Lytechinus pictus: one gene and its partner. The protein of the gene in region 2 interacts with the protein of the main gene of each other region in a pairwise test. Links are inferred from orthologs where the notes say so. Each region holds a gene or a part of one and is shown on either strand. Other genes may lie near its edges.

Region 1 (11,284 bases), on a different chromosome or scaffold from region 2:
AGATGGAACCCCATCTTAGATAAACACATGACTGACAGAATGTAAATGTATGGATTGTTGCATTTTCTGCTACTAATTCTTTTTGTAATGAATTCCGAGACAGAGGATTCACTTCATCTTCATGCAAAATATTCATTCCTTTCTTTTCAAATATGCATCAAAAGAGGAGTCCAGGATTTTTTTTTATTTGTTGACTGACTTGCCCAAAGTAAATGAGAGAGATGAATAGATTGGCTGACTTTATTAAATCTGACAAGGAATTAAATGAAAAATTTACGAACCTTGGATTGACTTCAATATGGTAGTTGCTAGCAATTGTAGTGATTTCAATTTTGCTCTTTGATGGTGTCTGTGCAGGGAACAAGAGGCAAACAAAATACAAATTTAGTAAATGGTTGATCAATCTAATCAAACAAATGGAAAAAAAATTAACATACAAAATGCAGATGTAAGCCAAGCACTAATTACAAATAATTCATTCAGGTGATATATTAATATCAATATTAGAAGCAGTAGTCAAATTAAAGTTTATAGTAGGAATAGAAGTTGCATAAGAAGTAGCTGAAAATAGCTGTCATACTTGGAAAAGAGCTCCAGTAACTATTAATGAATCTAATGTAATCCAGAATACACAAAATCATGGAAAGAAGGTAAACATCATCTAAAAATTATGATGGAGCTAGCCAAGGAACATAACTCTTATACAGAATTATTGAAGTATATGTGCCCAGCGGCGGACCGTGACCCGGAGGAGACAAAGCATTGGATAGGCACAGCATTGTTCACGAAGAATAGAGTGCCCCTCCAATCATTTGTCTCCTTTAGGTCACGGTCCGCCACTGTATGTGCCACACACACAAGAACCATACGATCTGGCCCAGATGCACTTTGAATAAATCTAAACTTTGAATGAAGACTTGAAACTGCTTCTTAACCATTACGTGCATATCCTTACCATGAAAGTTTGATGTTCAATTCTAAGTTTTTCTACTCCTGATCCATACAGCTCCCTTAGAGCACACATAATCCTAGTCTTCTTCCCTGCACCCGATGGCCCATAAACCATCAAGTGAGGGAAATCACCCGATTGCACCTGTGTAATAATGTTAAAAAAACAAAGGCTTTTGAATCCATCATCCTCTGGCAGTCTTGCCTGCATTACGCGATTCAATATACATGTAGCAGCAATGCCAACTTTGAAAACAACTATTGAATAATGATTCACAAAAAACACCATTCATATGATAATAAAACACTATATTCATCCGACTGTATTTTGACATTTGGTTTCCTTTTATAGTTTAGTTATTTGTACTTCTAGGTTTTAGCTTTGGTATTTAGTTCAGCTTTGTTTACATTCTTGATGCTTCCATTTGACTTTCAACCTGCTTCTCTAGTCATTCTTTTCCTATTCAGATGTGTCCATTACATTCCCACATCTGATTCTTTTGTTCAACATTCTTATTATGTAATCATCCCAATATCTTATTCATCTCCATCCTCTATCTCTTATTGGTTATTTTATACACTTTTCCACTTTCAGTTGGCTCCTCTATTTTCTTTATTTTCATTGTTGATTTTGTGTAATTTGAATATTTACTAATTTTATAATGCAATTTTGAGTTTTAACGAGACAAGGAAACCCAGCAAATAAATCAGTGCACTACCAGACTTCATCAAGTTTAGTTCAATTATGTTCCTGTCTTCCAAGTTAAGTTCCATCTCCTTCTCTCCATCTGCTTGTTTGATGTGTGATTGAGCTTGTGTTATAACTTATCCCCATCTTCAGTTGAACATTTATTTCCCCAGACTGTAGGCCTATTATTTTCATTAACCCTAAATACTTCAAAATACTTCAATCGGCCGATGAATATCATGAATTGTAAAATTTTTGCATTAGCTAATAAATATTGTAAGATATAAATTAGCTAATGCAAATATTTTATAATTCATGATATTTATCGGCCGATTGTCTTTTTGAAGTATTTTTTTTTTATTAAAAAAATTGGCACTGCTCATGATAATGATATCGTTGCCCTCTCTTATACGCGTCTTGTAACTAATTAAACTAGGCTACGAACAAGGCTACGAACTAGGCTACGAACCTCGGTACACTGTCTTTGTTTTGTTTTGTGTTTTTTTTTCTCTGTTAATATTCCCTCTTGTCTTGTTAAATTTATCTTACATACAATATTTGAATCGTTATCTTGTATATACAGTGCGTCTCAAAAAAAACTATACACTTTTGAAATGGCTGCCAAACAAAAAATATGTCACTTTGGGGAAAAATACCTATATACAATGTATATGGAAAGCCAATAAATTAAACTTTCAAATGACACCAAAAAGTTGGAAAACTATTCATGCTTGAGTGAGCACTACCCACTTAAACAAAGGGTATGAAAATTAGGGTGGGCAGGAATTAGCCTTCCAATTTCTTTCAGTTTTTAAGAGGCGAGTCCCTTGGAACTTGCAAAGTTGAGGGTGTTGTGATAAATTAATGATCAATTTAAATTGTTAGAGCAAATTTCATGAATTACTAGATTGAAATTTCATGCATGAGTGAGTGTCAGTAGTAATCTTTAGTGTAGCATTTTAACTTTTTATCATGTGGATCTCAGCAGTGTGTTCATTGAAGTAAGGAGAATAGGGGTGAGATAGGACTTAAATGGGTGAAGTAAGCTAATGGGTAAAAGGTCAACAGAATGTTTAGACTCCCTTAGATCGAGACTGAATGCTATTACATGTACGCATAAAGTCCAGAGCCGACTGTCAATTTGATAAATTTTGAGAATTCGGTCATCAACTTTTACCATTTGATCAACAATTTGTTAGTAAATCAATGTGATCAATTAAACATTCAGCTTTTTCAATAAATTATCAATCAATTATTCAGCTTTTTCAATGAATTCATAAATCATCATAATTAGTAAATTTCTTAGAATCATTCAATGGAAAATAAAAGACCCATCAACCATCAGTCACTTAGCATTTAAGTTTTGAATACCATGATCCAGGAGAAAGAGAGAAAGAGGGGGTGAAGGGGAGGGAATTTGTAAGAGAAAACAAAGAAGAACACCCTTTTAACTGTTTAACCCAGTCTTACCCTATCTGACCCCCCTTGCATGCAACAGGTACATGTACCATCACATTACTCTGACTCTCACAAGCACACTTGCTAAGATCCACATAATAAACTTAAAATGCTACACTAAAATTAAAATTCCTGTTTACTCATGCACTGCATTTCAATTTAGTAACTCATGAAATTAGCCTAAGTAAAACCAAAAACTGATCTCAATTCATCAATAATTTAGCATGACACCTTTAACTTGGCAAGTTCCAAAGGACTCACCACTAAACAAAACTGGAAGGCTAATTCCTGCTCGCCCTATAGCAAAGGCTAGTCTCTCAGGATGGGAGGAAGGGGTAGAGAGAGAGGGGGGGGTGGCTTGTTCTGTTGGCCTTTGTCCCATCAACCTTCTTCCCCCACCTAAGTCATATCTCATCCCTATTGTGACTCCCATTAACACATTGCTGAGATCCACGTGAAAAGGTCAAAATGATGCTCTAAAAAAATGTAATTCATGTTCACTCATGCATAAATTTAAATTGGATAATTCTTGAAATTAGCTCTAAGAACCTAAATTAATAATGATTGATCATTAATTTATCACATTACCCTCAACTTTGCAAGTTCCAGGGGACTCGCCTCTCAAAAACTGAAAGAAATTGGAAGGCTAATTCCTGACCACCCTAATTTTCATACCCTTTGTTTAAGTGGGTAGTGCTCACTCAAGCATGAATAGTTTTCCAACTTTTTGGTGTCATTTTAAAGTTTAATTTATTGGCTTTTCATATATATAGGTATTTTTCCCCAAGGTGACATATTTTTTGTTTGGCAGCCATTTCAAAAGTGTATAGTTTTTTTTGAGACGCACTGTATATATTTTTGTATGCCATGGGTATCAAAATATTGACTTGATTGTATTAATTTTTTATAGTGCATTAATATACAAATAATGCATGCAGCCGAGTGCGTTAGTGGAAATGCAGAGCACGCGAGGTTTCTTTAGATAGGAGTCGCACTGTGCACGAGCCGCTTGCGGCGAGTGCCCAGTGTGCTCCATCTGAAGAAACCGAGCTTTCCCTGCATTTACTTTTACGCACGACAGAGCAAGTGCATTATCTGTTTTATAAAATAGCAACACAGAAACAATTTTTTAAAAAGTTACAGTACAGTTTTGTTGGACTTCTTCTTCCGGGTGTAGTACAGACCTCTGGGTAGAGTATTTTCGTAAAAAATTATTTTTTATTTTTACTTCTACCGCACTGGTTTGCTCGAGCGTGCAATGTCAATTTTCGTTGCACACCTTTTGCACTCCCGTGCAGTGCACAAAAAAAGTTGGATGTCATGTGACGCGTATTGACCAATCGCGATGCTTGAAATAATATAGCTATTTTATAACATACGAAGCTTGACCCCATTAGTATTCTTCAAATATTCTATTGAACATTCTTAATTTCTATTTGTATGATCAATTTTAATCAGTTATTTATTTCAGGGGACTCACATAAACAAGCGAAGCTTTCCAGTGAGTTCCCTTTTTTCATTTCTGTTATTCATATTATGTTTTGTTCCTACTAACTTTGTCAATTTGTATGAAATGAAGAAAAAAATAAATTCAATCAATCAATCAAAAGACGGAAATATGGCGACAAGATCATCTGTATCTGCTCATCTTCTTACATGATTTTTCTTAATTTTTGTATTATTTTTCGTGTAAAAATAAGGTTATAAGTGCCTAATGGGGGGAAATGAACTTCTTTTCCATTTACAAAATTGTGTGATAAGTTAAACAAATCAAGTGATATTTTGGAGCAACCAACATTGGTCATTGTTGACGAAGGCAGAAATTATGCCATGAAAATAAGTCATTTTTGAATTTGAGAACTGATTTCTGCAAACTCTAATCAGTATTTTAAAAAGTGAAGTTATATATCTGATTAGTAATACTTCTCCTTTACAATGATGACCACAACAAGTCATTATAAAATACCTTTGATTCTTCGGGTGTGTACTACGTACTTCAACTAACATTAACACGATTTTCGGTATATGGGACCGAACAAAGGCAAAGCTAGCGACTTCATCACCACATCACCATCGATACTTTATGACCCAGAATACATCTACTCACCAACTTTTTCAGATTTGATGCTTGCTCCTTGTGATAATCGAGCTTGGATAATGACGTTGGTCTGTGTTTGTCCACCCATAAACTCATTTTGATAGTCTAAAATTAATGGTGATTTAGAATTATGTATGCATACAACACTGACTGATCGCGCGAAACTTGCGAATTTCCCGCAACTAAAGGTCATGACCTTTTATAATAGTCTTCGCGAAAATTGAAAAGAGTAATCAATGCCAATGACTGGAATAGTCTTCCTGGGGCCGATTGCACGAAAGGGTCTTTCCAAGGACCGTCTTTCGTGTCGCCCATCTTTTATGATGCGCTATAAGCGGGGTGTTTCTGAAATTTATGATAAACAAATAAAATTCGTAAGCTTGCTTTTAAATCAAATTTTATACAATTTCATGAGATATCACATCATTTTATAAACAAATATTTTGTTTATTTTAACGGACAAATAAAATATATTTGCAGATAATTTATTTGAAATGCGTTTCACATGGCGTATCATAAAAGATGGGCGACACGAAAGACGGTCCTTGGAAAGACCCTTTCGTGCAATCGGCCCCTGAAATATACAAATGCCAACAACAGACAAATTTAAAAGAAGTATTGATATATTTTGGCAAAATAAGCACTTTGAGCTTCCATGACTCCTCACGCAAGCTCATGAAGTAGTAGTTTTCAGCAATATTAATCCTACAAGAAGCGACCGGGCCTTCATCCCGTATCGATATTTAATTTCGTTCAAGGTGGGTGGATCGCAATTTTCGTTTTAACGCATCTTCTCGATCAAAGTAGGGTCCATGATCAAAGTATTGTAAATAATAAATAGTCCAGTCAATCTAGCCAGAATAGGGGGGTAACCCACCACTAATTGCAACACGAGATATTCCACTGAAATGCTTTCCAGGAAGGTCCCCTAAACAACATACTAAAAGTCCCAAGAAATCCAAGCAGTGGAAATTTATGAAATTTGCATATTATGCAAATTAGCCATGAAAAATTAGAAAAAGAAGGGAAATAATCCAAAGATTACAAATTAAATGTCCAAAACAATTTAATTTTAATGGAAATTCATGATAAATAACTGAATTCAATGTTTTTAATCAAAAGTGCAAAAATTTCTACCTCATTTGCATATTATGCAAATAAGCATCCTTATATGAAAAAAATGTCAAGATATTGTGATTTTTCTCATATAGACTGCTTGAAAACATTTCATTAATGTTGACATTAATATGCTACTATATCACTAAGCATGAGAATTCATCCCAATGCCTGAAAATTAATTTGCATATTATGCAAATTAGCCATTAAAAAAAATGAGGAAATTAATCCAAAGATTACAAATTAAATGTCCACAGCAAGTAATTTTAAACAAAAGTTCATGATGAATAAATAAGTTCGATGTCTTTATTTAAAAAAGCTAGCAAATCTGCCTCATTTGCATATTATGCAAATAGGTATCCTTATATGGAAAATGTCAAGAAATTTTGATTTTTATCACATTGACTGCAGTGAAAACATATCAGTTTTTCAAATTAATATGCTGCTATCACTAAGCATTCAAATCTATCCTAATATGGTTTATATTCAAGGAAAAATACTGGAAATATGTTCTTCGCTTCCTAAGCCGCGTTGTTAGTCTGGCAAGATGATGGGATCGGAAAGAACAAAGCACAGTATTTGAACTGGTGTGTAGTTTGTTAGAGTTGACAACCCTTTCTTATATGGATGGGAACGACTTATACTTTGTTGAAAATTCACCGTATGAAAATGATAAAGGGAGGCCAGGAAAAGCAAACTTATGGCAGGTAAGATCTGATGAGTAGTCTCATTGAGAAGTGTAGCAGAGATTCCGTCTGGCCTAGAAGCTTCATGCAGGGTGTTTTCTTTAACAATTTCTTCAGTAGTCTGGCTACACCTGTTTGACTAAACAATATGTTATCTGGCCATATCTGGGTCAGGACTGGGTCACAGGACTTGTAGAGCAGCGTCATCATCATCATCATCATGATCAGTGGTGAATACTAAGACTAAAAATCTTTGCCTTCCTTTAATAATGCTATTCCAATGTAGTCATAGCTATTGACCCAACATGCTAATTGTTACAGCCTGGATCATTGTCAATCCTGTCAACAAATTATGTATTATAGGTTTGTCTGGTCCTCTTTAATGCATTGTAGCAATTCTGAGCTTTACCTTACTGATGCTTTGGAGCTCTAAAATGTGCAAGCCTTCCTAGCCTTTCTCTAAAATCTTGACATCTTTCGACACAACTTATGTCCATTGTCCATTGAGGCAATGGTTAACGGTGTGTTCTTGTTAAAGTCCTCTTGATTGGCATTCAGTCTCCTATGCTCGCCTTGTCGGATTTCAGTACAGAGAGTTGTATGATTGTCCAAAGTACATCTGCATGACACTATTAAAGTCAGCATTCCTCCAGAAGAACATCCTTAGTCGTACCATAATTACTAAAAGGTTTATTCCTCTGGATAACCTCACAGTGTACCCATGAGTAACACATTGTGGTAAATAAATCCTGGAAGTGGTACACACTTACCCTTTTTACACAGGATTTTCTTAGCCCCGGACTATCGCTAACCCCGTACTATCCTTAACCCCGTACTATTTTTTTTCCTTTTTACACATGCCAAATTGTTATTGCTAACCCCGGATAAGGAATGCTTGCTTTTCACACACGAAACTCGCTAACCCCGGACTAGTGGTTTTTGTCGATCATTCGTAGTACAAGTACTTCACTCGTACCTTTTTACACACGCTACAATTTCCTTAACCCCGTACTATAGGTGGGGCCAAATTGCCATTTAGCCCCACCTATAGTACGGGGTTAAGCTTAGCCCACTTTCGTTTTACACTAGCGATCTTAACCCCGTACTATCGCTCTTAGCACCGCAATTGCTGGGATAACCCTGCTTTTTTGCAGGGCCAAATAATCCCGTACTAAAGGTGGGGTTAGCCCACTTTGCAAAAATGCTGTGTAAAAAGAAAGTGGGCTAAGCTTAACCCCGTACTATAGGTGGGGCTAAATGGCAATTTAGCCCCACCTATAGTACGGGGTTAAGGAAATTTTAGCGTGTGTAAAAAGGGTAACTGTGTAATCAATGTTGGATGGTATTTGATGGTGATGTTAAGGGTGTTCCATTGTGTTGTGTCCTCTTGTTGGAAAGGCAATAATCTGGTTTAGTCCTCCATCTGGTTTGTTCATTGTCTCACTGAGGAATTTCTGTTTACCATAATTATCAGGACATTAATATTATTATTTGCATACGACTTACTTAGAAACTATAGCTTTAATATTTGGAGATGGTTGCCATAGGAGATTTATAAAAGAGGAAAGAACAGAAAATGAATGCTTCATCATGAAGCAGCAACTGGATTCAGCAAGAACGTCTAATCACGATTCCTGTATCTGAGAAAGATGCCTATAATGCACTTTAAGCCTTCATCATGAATTTATGAATGGCTTTCATGTCGCTCGTATAGGCAAATGCCCATTGTTACTCTTATTAAGCATGCCCAGAGATATTGTGATCCAAGCAAGTACTCATATTCACCACCAAGACAAGTGATGATGATGATGATGGGTTCTTGTAAAGCGCCGGTATCCGCCTCAGCTGGGCGCTCATGGCGCTTGCTCAAAAAATAGGAAATATCTCACAAATTTCAATGTCTTCAAACAGTGCTTAGGATCATCATTCAGTTCAAGTACTGTTCTAGTAATACTACAATTGAGTTATTCTTGGGATAATGTTGGAGTGGGGAACAGAAAGGTATACGACTCAAAAAGTTGATTGGGTCTCTGCTCTCCTGATAAATTGGGGAAGGCTATTCCACAGCTTTGGTCCAGAGATGTAGAAGGCTCTGTCACCCCAGGTTGTGTGGCTGAGAGATTCCCTCAGCAATGCTTGATCTGCTGATCTGAGACTGCGTGTTGGTCTATGCTGAGATAAGAGCTCTGATATGTAGGGTGGAGATTTATCGTTAAGCGCTTTAGATACAAGGACCCCAAGTTTATATGTTAAGTGGTGTGCTACAAGGACCAAATATTCGAAGCTAATAGGCTTTTATTTGTACGGGTGTGACATCTTGTGCTGATCACTTGGCAATCCAGGAGCTTGCTAGCATGGGCTATACTCGCAAGATGAGAAACGCAAAGTCTCTACAAAGTAAAGAAGAGAGCAAGACTTGGATGAAAATAATGAAGCATTCAAGCAGTGGGATCCATGTAGAATGGACTCATCATTGTACAATATGAGTGGGGTAACTGCTCGTGACAAAAGTCAATATCAACCAAGCAAGAAGTGAAGGGAAGGTCATCATGGTTAATACACATAATCTACATGGAATTTTAGAGGAAAGTATCACGTATGTGTTTCCTTGAATATTTATATTATGTCGGATGCTTATTTGCATAATATGTAATTTACACTTCAGATATTAAGCTGATTATTAATGTTTTTGCCATTCTTAGTGATCACATCATATTGATCTAGACTGAAATGTTTTCATAACTGTTTTTGTGAGAAAAGTCAAAATTTCTGGATTTTTTTTCCTTATAAAAATGCTCATATATATGCAAATGAGGTAGATTTATTAACGATTTCTTATTTAAAAAATAACTAAATTTGTAAAACTTATCATGGGCTTCAGTTCAATTCGTATTGTTTTCTGCACTTGATTTCCAATATTTTGATTATTTTCCTTATTTGTAATCTATTATGGCTTATTTGCATAAAATGCAAATTTTGTGATTTTCCTATATGCTTATATGTTTAAGGACTTTTAATATGGTGTTTAGGAAGCCTTCCTGTAAGGTATTGCCATATTCCAATTTCAATAGATAATCTACTTGCAATTTTTGAGGGATGTATCACCAGTGTGTTTTCTTGAATATTTATAACATGTTAGATACTTTTGTTTTCATAATATGCAAATTACACTTCAGACACTAAGCTGAATACAAATGTATTCAACGTCCTTAGTGATAGCAGCATGTAAATTTCAATATTAATGATATTTTCAAGCAGTTAATGAGAGAAAAATCACAATACCTTGACATTTTTCCATATAAGGATGCTTATTTGCATATTATGCAAATGAGGTAGATTTTTTTGCACTTTTGACAAAGAACATTGAATACAGTTATTTATAATGGATTTCGCTCAAATTAAATTGTTTTGGACACTCAATTTGTAATCTTTGGCTATTTTCCTTATTTTTCTAACTTTTTATGGCTAATTTGCATAATATGCAAATTTCATAAATTTCCACTGCTTGGATTTCTTGGGACTTTTAGTATGTTGTTTAGGGGACCTTCCTTGAAATAATTGCAGTGGAATATCTCGTGTTGCAATTAGTGGTGGGTAAAACTCTATATTGACTGGACTAAAAAAGGCCGGCGTCAATCGGCGTCAATGGCTGTAGCTGTGACGTGGCCGTTAATTCCTCCCTCCACTCGTTCCTTTCAGGGTTGTGATAAAGCACGTTTTTTTTTTATTTAAAAAAAACTAACCCTAATCAAACGATCGTTATTGTTTTAAAACGTTTGAAATCGTTTTAAAACGTTTATTCAGTCTAACGAATAATTATGCAATGTTCTGTAAATGCTCTGGCCTTACTAGTAACGCATCTATGTTATGTAATCCGGCATAAGAAGGTCCTTACAAAATTAATACTAGTAATCGTTCCACTGATTTGGAAGTGTTATGCGAAGAAATCAGTGAGTCGAGAAATTTAAATCGATCATCTGAATCATTTGTTTGATACCTATATTTACCTTAATTCGGAAAAGTGAGCTGAAACTTAATTTTCTATATCTGAAAGCCGTGAATAATGTTTGCTTTTAGTATGATTTATACACACTACACACCATTAACAGACTAGTTTAATATCTCTGTTGGTGATCCTGAAAGTTGAAGGGGTAATGTTGCCTTAGCTTTTCTTTGCTCCAAAATTAAAATTTTATTACCAGTAGTCCTTTTTTTTATCAATAAAAACCTTTTATCCTGCTAATATACAAGGTAAAATAGCAGGAATGAGAAGTTAAGTGCAGACAGTGT
Region 2 (10,855 bases):
TCTTTGCCTCTCTTTGGGTTTCTCTCTGTCCGGTGTTTCTGGAACGAGGCTACCCGCCTTCACCTTAGCTGCCAATTTGCTTGCAAGCCCTTTACCCTTACCTATAAAAATAACAGAGGATATCATCTCCTAAAAGTTATTATTGCCATATATCGCTGAAATTCTAAAAACATAAGGCCCTTTGCAGAAACAGTTGCAATCAGTGGATAAGTATCCAGACTGTGAACCACAAGGTCCGGGGTTCGAATCCCACCATGGCACTCGTCCTTGCATATTTGCCACAGTCGACACAGGTGTAGTAAATGGGTTCTCGGTAAGAAGGAATTTGTTAAATTCTCAAGCACATGATCAAGGTAGCAGGGGTATGTAAATGTTAGAAACATTGTACTAAGTGACATGCTGCATATTATTGTTGCTGTTGCTGTTATTATTATCATTATCATCATTATTACCATATTATGCAATTTGACTTTCAAATTTCAACTTGACTTTTAGAGTTACATGTTAATAAAAATAAAAAAACTCTTTTTGCAATGGGTTTTGGGAGGCATAATAGTTCAGTTGGTAGATCGGTAGTCTTGTAGCCTGTTCTATTTATTAATGGACCATAAAGCAAGGGACTTCTGTCTGATATTTGTCTTGTCTTTTGATTTGTTTTTCTTCCAATCTCACCTTTTTTGTCTTCTTTATGAGGTGACTTGTCCTCATCCATCATTCTGAGGGTGGCTTCAAAGTCATCGTCATCATGCTCCTCCTTCTCAAGCTTTGGTTTCTTGGATCCTCCATTTGGGATTGGCTGCAAGGTGGTGAATAGGCAGATCAACTTGTCAACTATTGTCAATTATGTTTACAGGAAGATTCATTTATCAATAAAAACAGCTCAAATATATATTAAAAGGCAAATTTTATTGCAAGAATGTTATATAAAGGTGATCTTGTAGATAAGCTAATAAACCTGTCAACTGCCTTCTGAGCCAGATACTCATTCTGCTACAAAGATATATTTTACGAAACACATCTTGGAAAAAGAATTGAAACTACGAAAGTTAATCTTCTACAAGTAATTACGGCTGCCAAGCTACAGCTGGGGTAATAATATCCAAGTCCTTTGGAAGCGCATAGAGACATTATTCATAATCGTGATATGCGCTATACAAGAACTGTTTATTATTATTATTATTATTATTACAATATGTTCATGCTGTAAATTTGAATAATGGAGTAGACTTTCTAAAAGTGATTGCTATTAAAATGCTGTTTATAATGAATCAAAGAATACAACATTCAAGTGTGTTTGCTTTAAAGTGATATAACCATCAAAATGATAAAAATCTGACTCAATTTTCGAACAGTCACGTGCACTTCACGCAGATAAGCATGCATAGGACTACACCCAAATTGGTGGTCCGACAATTCCAGATGTTTTTTATATATATATATGTATATTTTGAAGTGCAATCAATGCTTTGCAATGCATATTTTCTCCTAAATATCATGGAAAGAATTTGATAGCTCAATGACTGTTTCAATATTTCCCACAACTATAACATATCTGCAACTTTGTCCTATGAAAACTCCTTTGTGCCAAATCCTAAGAGGACCACACTGTCGTACCTGATCTTTCCTTGTGGATTTCTTTGCAGACCTCTGGACCGGTGAGCTCCCAAAGAAATCTATCACCGAGGTGGGTTTCTTCTTCTCTGGGGTCGGCTGAGGCAGCTTGGCCGGTCCCTTACTGGTCTTGGAATCGGCTGACTTCACAGGGGTCTTTGACTTTTTGGATTGGGGTGGTTCGTCGTCTGAGTCTATGAATGTTCAATGTAAAAGTGAAACTAACATAACAGGTAAAGAATATTTTGGAAAAATTGTGTAGATTATGATGAATAGGAGGGTTGCCTTCTGAACCTGTTCACAAGGGTTTCTAGAGAAAAAGCATTTATGAATTGCACACTTTTTGTACACTTTATAACCTCACTTCAAGAAAATTTGAAACTAGGAACAAGTTTCATGATCATGTTCCTGTTTTAAACTTCAAGGTAATACTAATAAAAATATTTGAAATTTATATAGCGCATAATAGTCAAAAGATTCTCTATGCGCTTTACAAAATATATTTAATTACTAAATTATACATTAAACCTGATCTGAATTACATGTATACAATAAACCTAAACCTTAATCCTAAAATACTTAATACAAATTATAACAAATAAAATCAATGCATTAAAGTTACATCACTAATGAAATGAAAACTTATAATATTTAACAACATAATATATTGAACATTATATTATTAGGTATTGAATTGATTTGTTGCAATTCAAAACCTTAATTTACATTCATTTCTGAAAATGTCTGAGGCAAGAAAATGAAATGTCAGGGAAAGGATGAATGATCATGCTTCTAAAGCAATTAAGTTCTTTTGGCATCCAACAAAGCCTCTCACTCATCACTCAGTGTAGATTACCAAATGATCAAGCCCAACATGCTTGGGATTTTAATTTAATTTTTCCTTGTCCCACTCATTGATTTTTTTTTTTATAGCACTACTAGATCTTGATACCTAAAATGCTGAAAATTTTAAGTCAACAGGTTCAAAATGGAGGAAAAAATATGGATGCCCTGACAAGTTTTCTCTTTATTTTATTCAATTTTCTCTTCTTAAAATACTTTATCTCTGCAAACTTCAAAATAAATCCCTGACTTTGCTTTCTTTAAACCTCGCTTCATACAGTGCAGTGTATAACAAAGAATACCTCATCCGTAAACAGCATGGTAACCTTTCTGCTCATTTTAATAAATGTTAGATTTTTATTTTATCATTCCCCGTCTATACTAATTTTCCACTATTACTATGTATATAATTCTCTTAATTTGTAAATTTTGGAGGCCATTATGTGGTTACATTTTAACCTGAACTCTTGAATGTTTTAATTCACCTTGCTAGTAACTCTGATACAAGTCTTGCAAATATGACAAAAGAAGAGAAGATGGGAGCAGAGTACTAGACATGAATATAATTTTGTATTTATTTCATGTACTCATTGAAGGGAAAAATTTTCTCAGAATTCAAGACAGTTTCTCATCCTTGTGTTTAGTATTTATGAAAGACACACAGGATGTGAATCATTCATTTAAGTACATTAACACCTTCACTTTACCAGAGTCATAAATGATGTTGGATTTCTTCATTGATTTGGCCGAGTGGCGTTGCTTCTTCTCACTTTGCACGAAGTCTCCGTCATCGTCATTGTGCTTTCTCTTACCCTTGCCATTGCTCTGCTTAGCTGAACTGGATGCAGACTTACCCCTTCCTGGGCTGCCGAAGAAGGATCGAATGTCCTGGAATATGATTTATAAATTTATTGTTAGATCAAGTCTGTCTTTATCATTGTCAGTGCATGCACATGACTGCATGCCACTAGCAGGTTGGCCACTAGTAAAATGTACTACATGGGAGCAATCCCTCACCCCCCCACCTCCCATCCCCCCCCCCCCCTCTTCATTTGAATCCATCCATTAGTTTATAGTCATGACTGCACGGAAACATGTATCATTACCAAACTGTCAAACATTCATTTTCATGATTTAAGCCTTTTGGCATGCATTTCGACCAATCCTTTCCTTCATTAAAAAATACTGCATATCAACTGGGAAAATAAAATGCAATTAATTTTGCAATTTTGAAGTCTTGTTTCCACTGTCAAGTGTATTTTCACTATCTCCAACTCAGACCCTAAAGTTACATTTTGAAATAGTCAAATAGTTCTAAACAAGTCAAGATTCTAGATTTTACAACTCTAACTAACGTTAGTTGGATCTTTTTTTTTTTCACAGAGGGGGTTTGAAAAAGTCACAAGTGAAAGTCTGTACTAAATAAATACCTGGCCAACCATCTTGAGGGGGGGGGGTGGGGGTGATGGGGCCAGTCAAATATATTGCTGTACACATGCGTGACCAAATTATTTCCAAACATGGGCCTAAACAAGATTTTCTCTGTGTGCAAAATAACCCCTGAACAAGTTTTTCACAGGCTTCATTTACACATTTTGGCCCCATGCAGGGAAAAAGCTTGGGAAAAAATATACCCTAAAGTTCTAAACACGTTTGGCTACTCTTAAAAAAAAAGCCTTGCCTTTGGAAAGAAAAAATTACCCTAATACATTTGACCCCGGGATTGAACATAATTGACCATCCATGATTGACCAGTCTTTCTGAACCACCTTTAAAAAAAAATCATTGTTTTTTATACCCTTAACAAGTGCACATGCGACCAGACATATAGACTTTAGTTTAAAAACATGTTTTTTGGGTCACGCATGTCATGACATGTGTAAGTTAGATCTTGATCTAACTAAGACAGTAAGAACAGATCGAGATCGACTCGGGTGTACCGTGTTGCAAGAAACTTGCGATCAATTGCGATCTATATATGGTCCCTAAATCACTCAAATGTCTTGCAGTAAATTGCAAATTAGTGATTGCTAATCTGCTCCTTGAAACAAGAAGTTAAATCTGATTTGCTATAACTGACGTTGATCTAAAAAGTATGTTGTAAAATTGCAACAAAATATTTGCAATTGATCGCAAATATTTTCTTGCAACAAAAATTTCTAACTCAACAAGTTAGACTCTACTCTAGCTAGCTAGATCTAGATCCCTGGGCCAACCATATCCTCCCTCATTCACTCGTTAGGTTTCTTCTAGTTTTCCACATTCATCCATCACTTCTTTGCATCAGATGACACTGAAACTAGCCTGAAAAACCTAACGTTAGTCCAATTCCCATCTCAATTCGTCATCACGACGGGACCATCAGGCATCACGACGAGTCATCATGGTCAGGACACAATTTCGAATTTTTTATTTAATTCCGTTTCAACTTCAAATTGAAAGGGCATTTTTTCAACGAAAGGATTTGAAATCACTGAATGTCTAAAAGTAACCATAGGCCTACGTCAAAGCATTAAAATGTGCATGCAATTCAGAATATTTACCATCGACATGATTAATCAGCTGTTTGACATAAGCCGTCATTCAATTCAATTCAGCTCAGCTCAGTCGAACTACTAACCCATGTTGTTGTCATTCGCGCTCGCGCGCTGAAGTTGCGTTCGCTGTTCCCCGTCGATTCGTAAAGATTACGAATAAAAACTTGAAATGAATGGGGGGCCAGCCCATCATGATCACCTGATCGCACTATAAATCACGTGATATGCCAGAGATTGATCGGAGGGGGAAGGGGAGTGGCCAAGCGCAGCATGGAGGGGATGGAGGGAAAGGAAACTCGGAAAACTTTTCGAAAAGGGCATCTCTCCGATTTTTGTTATTTTTATAGTTGTCTACCATTACGAGATGAAAGTGTTGGGGATCAGTGATGAAGAATGCGTTTCCTTATTTTGAGGGGGGAGATAGAGGGGGTTGCTCATTTTTGTAACTTTCACTTAAAACGCGACGAGTTCTTCAATTGGCTTTATGGGGTTTTTTTCATTCCTGCGGGACTTTCAGTGCCTTATGACCCTGCTTACGATAGCCGTTATCACTAGGGAGGACCCCCTTTCTAGTGCTTTCAACAAATACATGGCCTGGTGACTCACGACTTGGATCCTAAGTCTCCTAATTTTCTAACTTCAACACCAATAGCCCAGCTCTGATGTATTTTGACAATCAATATAAACAAAACAAGTATAGATGATAGTATAATTAATTGATAATGATGATGATGTTGATGATGATAATAATAATAATAATAGTAATGATAATGATAATAATTAATAATTAATAATAATGATAATAACCACAATCACAGCAGAGGGCAGGGGCGACTGCCCCTATGAATTTTCAAGCTTTGAATACAAAGAAAAAAATAGGAGAGAATTAAGCAAAAATAATGACGAAAAGACGGAAGGGGAGGAAAAAAAGAAAGAAGAGACTTTTTGGTCGTTTGTAATTGTTATTAATATGACCTAATATTCAATTGAAGAAAAAATACATCACCATCAGCTCGCCCCACCCGTCAAATACCCTGGCGCCGCTCCTGATCCAAATTAAGGATCATGTCTTGGAAGAGCGTTTAAATTCTGACAGTTACCCCGACCCCGCCCCGCCCATCCAGCAATGACCACTTTCTTTTCTTTCACCCTCCCTCTCTCAAGTCTCTCTAAAACTCTCTTCTTCAATCTCTGCATATGCATGCCTCCCCCCCCCCCCCCCCCCCGGCCCCACCATACACTGACGGGCTCCGTGCCATTACATCCCGCATTATACATACGCTGTGCGGACTGACTGGGGTGGGGTGTGTGTCCGTCTGTCAATCCCTAGCTCTCTCTCCCTCTCTCTCCATCTCTCTCTATCTCTGCCTCCATCTCTCTCCCCCTCCATCACTATCTCCCACTTTCTAATATACCATACCCACTGATCCGTATAGGCGTGCACCTCCAAACATGAACTTCGATCTTCATTATTAGCCATCCGCTGCCCCTCGCTCCGCCAGCCTGAGAAAGTGACAGGCTCAACTTTAATACTGACCTCATTACAGGGCACCCCAGGTAAAATCACGTATTTGGGAACTATCATCCTTTTGTCATTCAATAAATCTCAAATCAGGGAGCAATCGTCCGGTCCACACTTGAGCTCATCAATGCTCATTCTCTGAAAATCATCAACAATCACAATTTCTTCCAACCAACTGTCTTGGACACGTCTATAGTTCGTGAAACCAGGGCAGGTAGTAGCAAGCGATCACCGCCCAACCGAACCATTCACAGCTGGGATTCTCAATTTTGTGTCTCTTTTTTTTCCCGCGGTCTGTCATCTGATTCATAGCAACAACAGACAAAACAGACAGGATGTCTACAGAAAAGTAAGTATAAATCAGTGTATTCAATTATATTTACATAAGCTCTTACGCCTTTAATTTCCATTATGTTACTTTGTCATCTAACTGTAAAAGGATTTGAGTTTTTCATTGCGAGATGAACTATTGCCTATTTTTTTTCCCCTTCATAACAATGTCTGCATTTGAGATACCATGACACTATACTTTGAATAAATACAGATCGGTTGTGAGTTGTGACCAAAATTTAATTAGATTCAAATTCTGGAGAATTGCGATAGCAGTAACACAACGTCATCATTATAAGCATCAGCAGGAGTATAAAAAACAACAGATCCTGAAAGAAAAAAATACATTGACCCCGCACATGATTAATCAGTCAATCAATCTAAATCCTTATTTCAGGTTGGTCACTGTCTACCGACTACCGCCGATGTGGATTTATTTAAAATCCCTGTAAATTTAGAGTGGACATTAGTGACATCTGGGCCCCGTTGTACAAAGAGTTACGATTGATCCGATCAATCGTAACTCTATGGAAATCCATCAGTGTCATAATTTTTTCTACAGGAAATTTGCAAATGTCCTTTGTAATCAAAGGAGAACACCCCGAATTGTCAAGAAATCAATGAATTTATGGATTTGCATTCATATCTAGAATTTTTTTTGAACAAACATGCATTTCATATGTTGACTTTGCTGGCTTTCCATAGTTGTGATTGATCGGATCAATCGTAACTCTTTGTACAACGGGGCCCAGTTCTCGTCGTGATGATTTCTTGTATTGTGCCTAATGTGATCACCTGCTTTCGGAATTATACCAAATTCATCTGTCCACTTTGTGCATGTCATATTACTTGAGGTATAATCTCTCAATTTGCCATCCTTTATGGTACTGATCATAGCAAGCGAAATAAAATAATACATGCAGGACTGACTATTTAGCTTGTCCGTCGCAATATTTCATATTCAAGCCCGCAGCTCTTATCCAAGAATTTCTTTAAAGGGCACGTCAGAAAGCAAAAAAAAAAAAAGAGAAGTATTTAGGGTCATGTGCGGGGTCAATGTATTTTTTTCTTTCAGGATGTTTTTTTTTTAATACTGCTGCTGATGCTTATAATGATGACGTTGTGTTACTGCTATCGCAACCTTGATACTACTGACCGAGTAGGGATAGTGCAGCACACCCCCCCCCCCCCCCCCAATAAAAAAAAATTAAAAAAATAATGATAAACTAATAAAAGAAATAAGTGAATACATGCATGATTGAATTTGAATTTATTGGTTTATTTGATCTCTAAACCCATTTTCAATATACAAATGCAGAAATACCAATCAATAATAGACAAAAAATAATGAGCTTACAGTTGCAAATGGGTATATATTGATGAAATAAATGAATTAATTGTTTGCTTACTTAAAAAAATAACGATAATTATTATTATTGAAGCCCACATATTTATTGTCATCATCAATATTATTCGCATTTACCCGCTTAATAAAACTAAAATTTCCCATTATCCGTGCAGCCAAAGGGTGGCAGGCCTATATATAGATCCCCTAAAAGGTGTTTTATCAATTTTGCAATTGTTTAAATTATTTTCTCATTCTTAAAAAATGCTTGATAATAAAGCAAACTTAAATATCTTTATCTTATACTTACCTTCATGCAATACCTTATATCTGATTCTACTTTAGACAATAAAAACAAAATTGTACTGATATAAAACCACCCCTATATCATCCCCCTCTCTCTCTCTCTCTCTTTCTCTTCCTCCTTCTATATCTCCCTCCACCTCCATCTTCTTCTATCCCTTTATTCTTCATCTACCCATCTGTCACGTCGTTCCCCCTCGTTGAATCCATGCAGTCGGTCATTAACTTTTCCTATTTTGATTCCCAATTTGACGACAATAAAAACACAAATCGAAATTCAATTACGTTCCCTTATCTGAGATCACTAATAAGAAAAAAAAACTCAGTAATCCACTCGGCAATAAAAATGAAATGATTTCGATATCATCTAGCAATTTAGGCGTTTAATATCTTCATTCACCGGCGGAATCGCTGTATATCCAAGGAGATATCACTCTCCTTGGTATATCAGTCAACCTTTTTGTTTTATGTTTTGTTGCTCCATTGTCGTTTGTAGAATGGCGCCGACGAAATTTCCTGACGATTTTGTAATTATGGAGAAAGAAGAATAAAATAGATTTACAATCTTAATGTGTTCAGGTTTGGTCAGAATGCCGGCGTTTTAAAACTCCTGTCTTTAAATATTAGGCCTGTGATGTAGGCCTAGTATACGAATTCCCTCGAATTTATATTAGGTAGTAAGAATTATATAAAACTTTAAAAAGTATTTAAGGAATCAGCCTTTAAATACAAATGTAATTCCATTTCCCAGGTGACACACATCTAGATGCAGATGCTGTTGGCTTGATATATTTTTTTTATGGAATTAGGTATCGACTTGTAACAGGGGCTGCGGAACCGGGGGGCTGGGGGGCTTCAGCCCCCCCCCCCCTCTTTTTTTTCCAAAACTGTGTACAAAAACGTAAAAATGACCATATGATTGTGATTTTTAGCATGGTCAGCCCCCCCCCCCCCCACTTTTGGCTCAGCCCCCCACTTTGAAAACCGTTCCGCGGCCCCTGTGTAACAAGATTGACGTGTATCTTTCTTCTTTCTAATTTTTCTCCATTGTATAGAAAATGTAACCGGCATTGGCCATGCTGGAGCTACTTAACCCGTGCAAAAAAAAGTCTTGGAAATGTGATGGCGCGATGGTGCAATGCTTTTTATGTATCTTTTTTTTACATTGGACGGTCTGGCTCAAAATTCAGGGGCGGATCTGAGATTTACTTCGGGGGGGGGGGGGGCTTTCTTTAACACCAATAATTCAATAATTGACTAATAAAATAAATAAATAATCAACACCAACAAAAAAAGTATAGATGCATATTACCATATTTTCTCGTACCATTTTTTGGGGGGACATGCTAACGAAAAAGTCCTAAAAGTGTAATTTGCCCCTCCCCGTCCTCGAATCCGCACCTAAATATTAATTGGCGTCTCTAAATGGTAATGGTCCAGTAGGCATCATGCATTGCCCTCGAGCAGAAGCACTGCGACATATGCTGAGGATGATATGACTGGTGTTTAAATAGAACATATTGCTCTCTAACAGACAGTCACAACACTTGATAATATCTGAATATTAAACGAATTGGTAGCATATCCATGACGTCAGGCACTAATGCCGGGATTGTGGATGCAGATACATGTGTGTGCAGGGGGGGGGGGGTGGAAGAGGAGGAATTCAAAGGCATATAAACTTCCTTGACTTCGGAGGACACCAGAGGTCCCCAAAATTTTTATCAAGTCCAACGTAGAGTTCACCAACATTCTTGCAACTTTAAACAATATTGTCTCATCATCTACGCTATTATAATCATGGCTATATAATTATGTTGAAAAACCAGCCATGTTAACTCCAGCAAAAACAGCGCAGTATGTTATCTAGTATTGGTTTAAAGTTATGGTGTAGGGGATAAAGAAACAATAAAACTTAAAGGAAATAACAATATGATATTGACGATAATCATGATGATTATTAAAAAAAAAAAAAAACCTTTCTATCTCTTATCAACCTCGAGGAAAGAATGGCAAAGTGATGTCGATGGTTTGAGAAGGGCGCATAATAGATGTAATGTTATCATCATGGTTAGTGTCGCCTTCCTATCATCACGTGCAACCAGCCATGTCAGTATGCTAAGCTCCAAACCTTTAATAAGCTTTGGGCGTGGCTTGCGAGATCAAGGTGATGCAGGGCAAAATTGTTCTTGTAGAGAAGAAGAAGAAGATGGTGATGATGATGGTGATGATGATGATGATGATGATGATGATGATGATGGTTGTGGAGATGGTGGTGGTGGTAGTGGTGGTTGTGGTATGGTGGTGGTTATGATGATGGTGGTGGTGGGTTATTTCCAATTCGTCTAATGTCATTTCGTCCAA

The links. The genes of interacting proteins can lie anywhere in the genome.
Region 1: the proteins of replication factor C subunit 1-like (region 2) and replication factor C subunit 3-like interact in a two-hybrid assay, tested with the Caenorhabditis elegans proteins (3 studies listed by BioGRID). The link is inferred for Lytechinus pictus from reciprocal best matches to the Caenorhabditis elegans genes rfc-1 and rfc-3.

The regions. Positions count from the first base shown.
Region 1 is NW_026974140.1:12,517,031-12,528,314, forward strand, and holds the start of replication factor C subunit 3-like, read right to left. Parts: upstream 5,384-11,284; 5' UTR 5,289-5,383; coding exon 5,202-5,288; intron 1,094-5,201; coding exon 956-1,093; intron 350-955; coding exon 282-349; intron 1-281.
Region 2 is NC_087245.1:40,462,961-40,473,815, reverse strand, and holds the start of replication factor C subunit 1-like, read right to left. Parts: upstream 5,167-10,855; 5' UTR 5,007-5,166; coding exon 4,998-5,006; intron 3,343-4,997; coding exon 3,162-3,342; intron 1,806-3,161; coding exon 1,615-1,805; intron 797-1,614; coding exon 673-796; intron 102-672; coding exon 1-101.